3 linked regions of the Mus musculus genome follow. The protein of the gene in region 1 interacts with the protein of each later gene in a pairwise test. Links are inferred from orthologs where the notes say so. Each region holds a gene or a part of one and is shown on either strand. Other genes may lie near its edges.

Region 1 (2,615 bases):
CGGTACCAGCCTGAGTCTCACTCATGGAAGCCTCTCCCCTCCTCCCCCACCCCATCCATCCCCCAGTACCTCCAGGTGCTCCTGGCTTGACCAGGAACCCAGCTCTGTGCGGCGGGACCCAGGGCCCAACTCCACAGAGCGAACCCTCTCAGCAAATCTGAGGGAGTACAGAGTCTCGCTGGTGTTCTTCTCCACTGGGGACACCTAGGGGACAGAGAGCTCATGGTACAGCACAGGAGGTAGCAGCATGGCCACCAGAGGGTGTTTCTGGTCAGGGGAGCCCACTGTGGGCAGTGAACATGGGGAGGAACTTGTGTACTAAAAGGGGATGTTGGTAGGGGTCTATGTGGGGGTAGGGGGAGCCAGCAGCCTGGGGAGGCTCTTGCTGAACCTCAGGCCCTCACCTGTACCACCATAAGGGTCTTGCTGTCACCACTGAGTGAGTCCTGCAGCAGGTAGGTGAGTTTGGAATTGCGGAAGGGCACATGGCCTTGTCGAGAACGCAGGGCAGCAATGACGTCCCCCAGGGCGGATAGTGACCTGTTGATGTGCTGTGCCTCTCGCAGGCGGTTGCCCTCAGCCCCCGACTTGCCCACACGCTCTGAACCAGCCAGGTCCACCAGGTTCAGCTTCCCTGCAGGCAGAGCAGAGGGTGGGTCAGCGCTGCCCCAAAGATACTGATGGAGGGCTTGACCAGAATGGCCACTGTGCATCTCTCACCCGTGGTGCGGAGGCCTGTGCTGCAATCCACACCTCTCACTGTCACGATGAGCAGAGCGTGGGAGCGGGAGCTGTGTTCGTTCAGGTTGGTGAACTCGGTGGTGCGGTTGTTGTAGCCAAACTCAAACACCTGGGGGCAAAGGCAGTGAGCGGGCTCCTTTGGGATGGGCAATGCCACCCTATGTGCTTTACCTGGATACTCAAGTTTCTTCAAGGTTTTTGTTATTATTGTTTGGTTTTAGGCAGAGGCAAGGTCATAGTGTGTATACCAAGCTGCCCTCTAGCTCAGAGATCTGCCTGCCTTTGCCTCTCAAATACTGGGATAAAAGGGTGGACAGCATCACATCTTGCTATCTTTTTAATTTTTTGTTTTGAGATCAGGTCTCTGTAGTCTTGTCTGGCCTGGAACTCACTATGTAGAACTCACTGATCTGGCAGAGATCCACCTGCCTCTGTCCAAGTGCTGACATTAAAGCTGTGTACACCCAGCCACATGAAAGCCTCTGAGGGTCTTGCTAGGTAGTCAGACTGGTTCCCGATTCACAATTCTCCTGACTTAGCTTTACAGGTGTGCTCCTATACCTGCCTTTCCTTTCAGATGAGGAGACAGGCTTGGAGAGGCCTGGGGACTCCCCTAAGCTGCATTGTCAGGTGGTGGCAAAGCCCACCTTGGACCTGGAGCCCAGTTCTGTCCACCAGAGCAGCTGTTGGTGAGCGGGGCCTCCAGCACTTCCCCAGGACACCTTACCTTGTTGATGTCATCCACGCTCTGCACCTGGAACTCAGTCAGCCCTGGCACATACAGTTGCCCACTGCCATCCGGGCACAGTCGGATCTCCAGCTTCTCCTGAGGCTCTTTCCCCAGCAGGTCCCTGGAGCGGCAAGCCAAGCGAGACATGACTTCTCCCCTCCCACTCTGGCCTCTGCTTGCCTTGCACCCAATCCCTAGTCTGGAATCTGCCCCTGCACCAATCCTGGACCACAGGACTTGCACTCAGCAGAGGGGAAACAGACTTCCACAGAAGTCCTAAGGACCACACAGCCCCTGACTGGGTAGGGGCCCCATCCCGACCCAGTTCAGCGCAGCCCACAACACAGAAAGGGGTCCCAGATAAGGGAGGACCACCTAACTCCTAACCCTGGGCAGATCCTCTTCCCAGCCTCACCTAGAACTTAGACTTGGAGACCAGAAAGCCCCACTACCAGCACTCCGAGCTCCAGCCCAGGCCCACCTGAGGACTTCATTGTAAATCTCAGCTGCGCTGACGGTGATGTTGTACTGCCAGTCAGACGCCTTCTCCTGCACCTCCGAGAAGAGCAGCTGCAGGGCCCGCTGGTTGATGCCCGGGTTCTCGGGAGTCCCCTGTTGGCAAAAGTAAAGGCCCAGTGGCCCCACAGATGCTCACACAATATCTGTCACCCCATGCCCTCAGGAACCCCTAACAGGTGAGCCTCTCCTGCTGGTCTGTCTGTCCTCCGAATATAGGCAAGTTTCCCCACCTTGAAGGTAGCATTTCCCTGCCAGGAAGTTAGTAAGCATGAAAGGAGCTCTGTGGGGTGAAGCCTGACACACTACCCCTGCGGAGGGAACACCAGGGCTTATTATGGTCTGCTGGGCCTCCTGGAAGGGGCAGTTGAAATAAACATGGAGCCACCCACTGCCCACTGGGAGGCTCCCTGTCTGGGTGGCCGGAAGCCAGGCTCTGTGGGTGAAGTCCTTGAGGCTGGATGACATGGCCACCTTTCAGAATAAATCTAGAGCCCACCTGAGTGGGCCCTAGACACACTTTCCCTCCGCTTTGAAGGTACCTCCCCCTCATCTCATTCCTGTGCTTCAAGTGTGCTAACTGCCAGGCACACTCCAAGGCCTTGCAGGTCTGACTGTCCTAAGTTGT
Region 2 (4,155 bases), on another chromosome or scaffold:
AGAAATTCCATCACATCCCTCTCCTCCTAGAAGAGACAGGATAGAGAGTACGTAGGCTGGAAGGAAGGGGCTAATTAAGCCCTTACTACCTCATTCCCTAAAGACCAGCCAATTTAAAGGGCACACTGTCCCACCAATCATAATGTGCCTAGTTGCTGATGCTCTATTCCACCCCTGGAAACCATATAAAAACTTATGGAACAGGCCGCCTGGGGTTGCCACCTCTCCTTCAGGTGTCATTCTGAGAATGACAACCTCAGAATGCTGGAACAATAAATTATTCTTGCTTTTGCATCGATCCCCAGCTCTGAGGGTCCCCCAGTAAGCTAAGGCTCGTCAGACTCTTACAACACAAGAGCCTGTCTTTAATAAGGGAGAGGGAAGTGTATAGTGAGATTGTTCATTGGGTAAATGTACTTGTCATCAATTCTGATGACTCAAGTTTGATTTCTGGGACCCATATGCTGCAGAAAAGGAACTGACTTGTGGGGGTGTCCACTGTCCTGTGACCTCCAGGTTGCACCCACCACTCCCCAAAGCAAATTAGTGTGGGGTTGTTTCTCTGTAAAGGCTGAGCAAGAACAAATATGGGGCAGACATGGGTCAAAAAGTTCTCTCTCGGCCGGGTGGTGGTGGCACATGCCTTTAATCCCAGCACTTGGGAGGCAGAGGCAGGCGGGCGGATTTCTGAGTTTGAGGCCAGCCTGGTCTACAGAGTGAGTTCCAGGACAGCCAAAGCTATACAGAGAAAAGCTACAAAGCTATACTGTTTTAAAAAGAAGAAGGAGGAGGAGGAGGAGGAGGAGGAGGAGGAGGAGGAGGAGGAGGAGAAGAAGGAGAAGAAGAAGAAGAAGAAGAAGAAGAAGAAGAAGAAGAAGAAGAAGAAGAAGAAGAAGAAGAAGAAGAAGAAGAAGAAGAAGAAATAGAAGAAGAAGAAAAGTTCTCTTTCTTGGTCTGGCATTCCATTTCTGAATCATGCACTCTCTAGGAGGGCCGGGATCACTGGCTAAGCCTGTGGAGGAAGAGATGACACCAGATCTACAGATCTATCCAGACCTTGCCCCCCCACTTGGGGCCATCTCTCCCAAAGGCTAGTTTAGACTTTGTTTCTGTTTGGAAAAAGGTCCCAAGCCAGAACATGGAGACCAATGTTCACAGGAGCCTTCCCAGTGACAGCAAGTGAGCCCCATACCATTCCTAGCCACCCCTTCCTGAATGAGTCAGGGCCACTCAGTCCGGGGACAGCTGTGGCTCACCTTACATGAGCTAAATTGGGAACTGGAATGTCACACGGATGCCCCTTGTGTCCCCACCCCCACAGTAATGTTAATCTCTCTAGGGAGGAAGGGACAAACAGTGCTGCCCAAAGAGTGACCAAGAGGGTGGTTTGGGGGGACAGGAGGAGAATTTCACAGGGCAAGATAAAGCTACAAGCGCCTGGTGAGGGTTCTGAGCAAGGAGTGTAGACAGAGTGTCTGGAAATAGACAGGGGTGAGAGGAGCTGTTAGGGGAAGGGACAGGACTCTTCCAAGAGGGAGCAATAGCCGGGATCCCAAGAATCCAGTCAGCCTAAACTGACCGAGGAAGGGTGCACAGGCAGGGGAGAAGGCCAACGACAGGGCCACAGCGAGGCAGGCTCCAGAGCGCCGCGGGATGAACTTCACGGTGGGTTTCAAGCCGCTGCTAGGGGATGCGCACAACATGGACAACTTGGAGAAGCAGCTCATTTGCCCCATCTGCCTGGAGATGTTCTCCAAGCCCGTGGTGATCTTGCCCTGCCAACACAACCTGTGCCGCAAGTGTGCCAACGACGTCTTCCAGGTGGGCTCAGGGAGGGGTGGGTTAGGTCACAGAGGGGGATGGGGTGGGTGCCCTCCGCTGGGAGGGAGGGGCTGAGAGGTAGGAGAGTCAGCGTGAGTCAGCAGCTGCCCTGAGGCTGGTTAGCCCGACCTGAGTCTATAGCAGCCAGGACCTGCAGAAACTGGAAAGGAAGAGAGTGGTCTTGCATAGGCTTTGTAGGAGCTTGGACTAGATTTCATTCATTTTAAGGCTTTGATTTTTTTTTTTTTAAAACTCTGGAGAAGAAATCAACGATATATTGAGATGTGTGTGTGTGCATATGTGTTGGCTAGTGTGGCTACCAGGCCTCAACTTGAAAACATAAATGATGGAAAGAGAGAACTGACTCCCGAAAGTTGACCTCTGACCTCCACTTATATGAACACAGACAAACAAACAGACAGACACACACACAGTTTAAAATAATAACTGGGAATGGTAGTGTATACCTGTAATTCTGTAATATTCAATATAAATTCAAGACTACCCCAGACCTTCCCCCTTCAAAAGGACTTTCCAGACTGTACTAGCAGGCCAAGTACAGAGGCAGATAAAAAGCTGGCTGACTAAACAAATATAGAAATATAGTTTTAACGGTCAAAATTACTAAGCTTCCAGAACAAGTTTAACAATCCCCCCTGTCCCGCCTCACACTAAAAACCTCAAGGACAGACAAAATGAGAGTCACCCTATACAAACCAACCAATGTCTAAAAAGGTTATTGGCTACACCAATTAAAATAAGCCAAACTACCCTGGTGCCTATATCCGGCCTTTACCAAGGTATAAAAAATGTGTTCTTTCTTTGTTCTGGGTCTCTTTCCGGCTTGCGTGCTGAGAGGGGGTTCCCCAACATGTTGGATAAGTAAAATCCTCATGCGTTTTGCAATGATGGCGGCGGTCTCTGTGGTCTTTGTGAGTCTTTTGTCAAGCTACACTAATTCCAGCAGTTGGGAGGCTAAAGCAGGAGGATTGTCATCTTTTGGTTTTGTTTCTGAGACAGGGTCTCTCTATGCAACCCCAGCTGTCCTGTAGCTCACCATTCAAACCAGGCTGACCTCAAACCCACAGAGATCCTCTTTTTCTTTTTTTTTAAAGAATTATTTATTTATAACATATGTGAGTACACCATAACTCTCTTCATGCATACCAGAGGAGGGCATCAGATCCCATTTCAGACAGTTGTGAGCCACCACGTGGTTGCTGGGAATCGAACTCAGGACCTCTGGAAGAGCAGTCATTGCTCTTAACTGCTGAGCCATCTCTCCAGCCCCACAGAGATCCTCTTGCCTCTGCCTCCCCAGTACTGGGATTAGAGATGTCACCACCATTCTGGAAATCAATTGTCATTTTTAAAGTTAACCTTGATTACATAATGAATTCTGGACCAACTTGGGCTACAAAACAAGACTGTTTCAAAAAGTAAATTAAAAAATCTAAAATTAAAAATTGTCGGTAAATCTATGAGAAACCCTTCAATGCCAGCAGAACCGTGTGTATTCGAGGCAGAGCCTCTCTGTCCATGAGGGTCTGATTAGACACTGGGCCAGGGCAGCAGGGGTCTCCCCAGTTTCACTACTGTGATCCTTCCTCACCTGGTAAAGACTTAGAGGGTAGCTGATATTCAGGCAACTTACAGACACCATAACTCTCTTCATGCATACCAGAGGAGGGCATCAGATCCCATTTCAGACAGTTGTGAGCCACCACGTGGTTGCTGGGAATCGAACTCAGGACCTCTGGAAGAGCAGGCAGGCAGACAGACAGACAGACAGACAGGCAGACAGACAGAAGGCAGAAACAAAATTGTACTTCCCAGAAATGCCTGGGTATCTGTGGTCATGAGGCCAAGCACAACTAGGTGAAGTCACCAGGACTATTTTGTCCACACATTTCAAAAATAAAAACAAAAGATCTGGGCTCAGTGGTACATGGCTGCAAACCCAATCCTTGGGAGTTTAAGGCTGGCTTGGACTGCAGGAGACCCTGCCTAGCCAGCTAACTAACTAACTAACTAACCAACCAAATAAATAAATACATACACACCAGAGTCCTTTATACGTTCACAGGCTTGCTTTCCAGCTCTGTGCCTTTGGTGGAGCTCTGAGTCGGTTGTGACTGGATCAGAGGTCGGGGAGAAGGAAGGAATAGAACTCACATGCACAGACACGGGACCTCGCAGATATAACTTGGCTCTCTTGGTGTTGCAATCTGTGATAGGAAAATCAGGAATATGCTTCCTGCCAGGAGACAGGCTCTATGGCACATGCCTGGGATCCCAGCGAGGAAGGGACATCACAAGCTGGAGGCTAGCCTG
Region 3 (4,231 bases), on another chromosome or scaffold:
AAAGGAGGCCAAAGCTCCAAGATAAGAAACAGGGAAAAGCAAAGGATTGACTCTTGAGTCTTACACCTCCATTTCCTCGCCTCTCCCTACCAGATAACCCTCTTCTCCATCTACTCACCGGCTTCCCGCACCTTCCGAGCATCCACGGCAAACTTCTTTTTCCCCCTGGTTCTCCTTGTGGGTCTGGCGATCTCTGCAGTTCCCGTGCTTTACAGTATCTTCCTGTAAGTACGAGAGACTTCTGTTTGTTCTCACTCTAGCTCGACTTGACTGAATCCAGTGTGTCTCCCCCTACAGGATCCCACCTTCGAAACTGTGTGGCCCGTTCCGCGGGAAGCTGTCCATTTGGGCCCAGATCCCTGAGGCCATTGAGAGCCTCCCTCAGACTGCCCAGAATTTTCTCTACTTTCTGGGAACCCAAGCTTTTACTGTACCTCTTCTGATCCTCTCTAGGTGAGCAGTCAGACTTTGAATGTGTGTAATTTAGTGTTTGAAAGAGAAAGGAGTTTCTGGGCACCTGAGTGCTAGAGAGGTGGGCTGGGTGCCTATATACAACAGAGACGTGGGGCTGGCCGGGATGCCTATAAATCAAGAGCAGGAGAGTCGGAGTGTGAATGCTTAGGGTCTAAGAAAAGACATCTGGGTTTGGATTCCTGGTCTGAGGAAAGGAGGGCTAGGGTGTGGATTTATCGATTTGATGAAGGGGGAGGAGGTATGGAGCCTGAACCTCTAGTTTAACCTCTGGTTAAAGGGTCTGAACTTTTGGGTCTAAAGAGAGAGGATAAAGACTTGTGTTCAGAGTCTCAAAAAGGGTTTTAAGGGATTTGAGGATCCTGATATTGGTTTCTTTAATTTACTTATTCATTTAATTTTTATGTGTGTTGGTATTTGGACAGTGTGACTGTCTGTGTGAAGTAACGAACTTGAGTTACAATTGTAAGCTGCCATGTGGGGCTGGGAATTGAACCCCGGTCCTTTGGAAGTGCAGCCAGTGCTCCGGTTACGAGCCATCTCTCCAGCCTGGTTTCTAAGGAGCCATATGATGAAGATGATTGTTTTTCTAGAGTGATTTTCATTCCTGTCTTCCATAGCATCCTGATGATGTATACCGTAGCCCTGGCTAACTGTTACGGACGCCTCATCTCTGAGCTCAAACGCCAGATAGAGACGGTGAGCCAGGCTGATTTCCCCGGAAAGGGCTCTATGAGACTATGAAAGAAGAATGAAAAGGTGTGCTTCACTTTCGCTCCTTTTTGCCCGCAGGAAGTGCAGAATAAAGTCTTCCTGGCCCAGCGAGCTGTGGCTCTGAGCTCAAGGAATGGAACTTCCTGATAAGTCTGGCTGAACCTTCAGCCCCTCAGCTTCAGTGACTTCATATCAAGTGATGGGACTCTTTCATCTCTGGAACCAAATTCCCCGCCCTCTGCCACCCGAATGCTACACTCTCAATTGAACCGTATTAATAAACAACAGTCAAGGCCGCTTTGCGTTTTGAAACCCCGTTCTGAAGCCTCGGACGGGGTTTGGGGAGGGGCCAGGTCCAAATCGGCCTGAAGAGCTAGGTTATGTCTGCTTAAAGGAATAGACAGGCAACAGCCTCATCAAGCAGCGTCCGGGGGTGGAGCAACTCAGGTTACAAATGCTTAGGATTGGCTGAGATGGAAGGCTCTCAGCCAATAATCTCTAAACAAGGCTAGGATGGGACGTGACAATTGGCCCAGAACCAATGCACGAGCAAGGGTGGAACCATGGGGCGGGAGCATCCTCGAGCCAATCGGAAGTGCTGAAGAGTGGGCCTGACAGTCCGAGGTCGGCACTGGAGCCATGAATATCTTGCCGAAGAAGAGCTGGCACGTCCGGAACAAGGACAATGTTGCCCGCGTGCGGCGCGACGAGGCCCAGGCCCGGGAGGAGGAGAAGGAGCGGGAGCGGAGGGTGCTGCTCGCCCAGCAAGAGGTAAGCCTGGGGACCGCCCAGAAGCGCGGCGGGCCTAGCTATCACTCGGTGCCGGGAGCGGGTCTGTGTGTTCGACGATGTTTCTCTGAAAATCCTGTGCTAACTTCCAAGAAACCTTCCTAGATTTCCCCACTGGTGTTGAGGGACCAGAGACTAGCATACTGGAAGAGTTGGACAAATATTCTGATTACTTTATAGGTTGCCCGCACAAGTTAATTACTGATCACCCACTCTGTGTATGCTCCCTTCCTTCTGAGCGCTTGCTTTGAGAAATTCCCTCTTAGAACAACTTGGAGGGGTGCGGTCACCTTGCTCTGAGTACAACGGCTTCAGCAAGGAGGGCAAAGGGCGGACAAGCCGGGGTCCACTTCGTTGGGCATGTCTTTTCTCCCTCCCTCATTGCTTGCCAAGAAAAGAGCATCTGGAGGTTTTATTTGGAACAGGGTCTGTGTAGCCGTGGCTGTTATGGAACTGGCTACGTAGACCAGGCTGGTCTTGAACTCAGCTTGCCTGTTCCACTTGAACGCTAGTATTGAAGACCACACACACATCACAGACTCTAAGTTACTCGATTAGTTTGGTTTACACTTAAGTCCCTTGGCCAATCTGATCATGAATTAGTGTGGGCTTAAAAAAAAAAAAAAAAGCCGGGTAGTGGCGGTGGCGCACGCCTTTGATCCCAGCACCTGGGAGGCAGAGGCAGGTGGATTTCTGAGGCCAGCCTGGTCTACAAAGTGAGTTCCAGGACAGCCAGGGCTACACAGAAAAACCCTGTCTTAAAAAACAAAACAAAACAAAACAAACAAACAAAAAGGTGACGCTTGTAATTAATCCCAGATACTAAGGCTGCAGAAAGGGGAGAATTGTGAATCAGAGACCATCCCTATCTGGGGTCAGGTTGTACTTGGAGTGGTGACCTGGAGCCATACCTTGGATTTAGATCCTTTGTCCAGAAAGCAATATTTGATTACCTTACAAGTTTGGGAGTATATACATACTTGTGTTGGGGACTGAATTTGGAACTACACACAAGGCAGGGGCTCTATGGCTGAACAAGCCACCTATACCTATACCTGAGTGGGTTTTCCTTGCATCACTTGAGACTGGGAAGCCTTCTGTTTTAGGTCAGGGATCTTCTCTGAACTATCTCTGATAGCCCAGTTTACTGTCTAAAAACATCGATTCTCCACTCCAAGTTAGAAATGGTATCTCTTCTTGCTCTCAATATTTGCCCCACCCCCACCCCCTCTTTTCAAGACAGGATTTTTCTGTGTAGTCCTGGAACTAACTCACTCTGTAGACCATGCTGGCCTTGAATTCAGAGATCCATGTGCCTCTGTCTCCTGAATGCTAGGTTCAAAGGTGTGTGCTACCACTGCCCTCCCTGCCCATGGACCATTCTTGTATCCTCAGCACTTCTGGGTTCTGAATGTCTTCCCTATAACCCTTCATAGGCCCGTACGGAATTCCTACGGAAGAAAGCCAGGCAACGAAACTCAGTGCCTGAGCTGGAAGCAGCAGACCCAGGAGCTCCAAGTTCTGGCCCTGTGGACCTGTTTAGGGAGCTGCTGGAAGAAAGGAAAGGAGTTCCCAGAGGCAATAAAGAGCATGAGGAAGAGAAGCGACGGGAAAAGGTAAGTTGGCCTCATTTTTTGGTGGAATCATGGGGGTGGGGACTGGCTGTGACTGTTAGGATATGGTGATAAGCACTCTAAAATTTTTAGAATATGACTGAGAGATATTACCTGTAAGTTGGTTACTGCTGTACAGCACTTAAACTGGCTAACCTTTTCCCATGGGACTAAAAAAAGTCTTAAGCTATTTTATTTTTGAGATGAGGTCACAACTACACAGACCAGGGGTGCTTTCCAATTCTCAATCCCCCTGCCTTGGCCTCCTGAGCCAAGTGTTGGGATCATAGGCACTCATCTCCAGACAGCATTTGTGCTTTTCAAACTGACTTGTACTGTGGCTCTCCTCTCTCTCGTCGAACTTTGAAGGTGCTATCTCCCACTGAAAAATCACTCCTCCACTTTGCTTTTCTGCAGGTTTTTCCTTAAACTGTTCCCAAAGCTTCTCCCATCTTCACTACTGCACAGGCCGCAGCCTCTCTTTCTTCCTCCTCCTGCAGATAAGCCCCTGGTGCTTCCTGAATGGTCTTCTGATCTCCCTTGTTAAATGACTGTCTACCAGTCCCCGTCTCCAGAAATTTGAGCCCTGGGTTTTTCTATTGCCACATCTAGGGCTCCCAGAGGGACTGAAAAGACTATTTTGT

The links. The genes of interacting proteins can lie anywhere in the genome.
Region 2: the proteins of Kifc3 (region 1) and Trim54 interact in binary tests that used the Homo sapiens proteins (3 or more experiments, as listed by UniProt). The two-hybrid records come from large-scale screens. The link is inferred for Mus musculus from reciprocal best matches to the Homo sapiens genes KIFC3 and TRIM54.
Region 3: the proteins of Kifc3 (region 1) and Leng1 interact in binary tests that used the Homo sapiens proteins (3 or more experiments, as listed by UniProt). The two-hybrid records come from large-scale screens. The link is inferred for Mus musculus from reciprocal best matches to the Homo sapiens genes KIFC3 and LENG1.

What each region holds. Positions count from the first base shown.
Region 1 is NC_000074.6:95,101,943-95,104,557, forward strand, and holds part of Kifc3 (kinesin-like protein KIFC3), read right to left. Parts: intron 2,084-2,615; coding exon 1,953-2,083; intron 1,593-1,952; coding exon 1,469-1,592; intron 851-1,468; coding exon 721-850; intron 635-720; coding exon 405-634; intron 205-404; coding exon 70-204; intron 1-69. UniProt on the Homo sapiens protein: Minus-end microtubule-dependent motor protein. Involved in apically targeted transport. Required for zonula adherens maintenance.
Region 2 is NC_000071.6:31,115,257-31,119,411, forward strand, and holds the start of Trim54 (tripartite motif-containing protein 54), read left to right. Parts: upstream 1-1,355; 5' UTR 1,356-1,653; coding exon 1,654-1,821; intron 1,822-4,155. UniProt on the Homo sapiens protein: May bind and stabilize microtubules during myotubes formation.
Region 3 is NC_000073.6:3,663,041-3,667,271, reverse strand, and holds the start of Leng1 (leukocyte receptor cluster member 1 homolog), read left to right. Parts: upstream 1-1,431; 5' UTR 1,432-1,824; coding exon 1,825-1,956; intron 1,957-3,410; coding exon 3,411-3,590; intron 3,591-4,231. Other genes in the region: Tmc4 (transmembrane channel-like protein 4), read left to right, coding at 94-224, 298-453, 1,092-1,170, 1,264-1,332.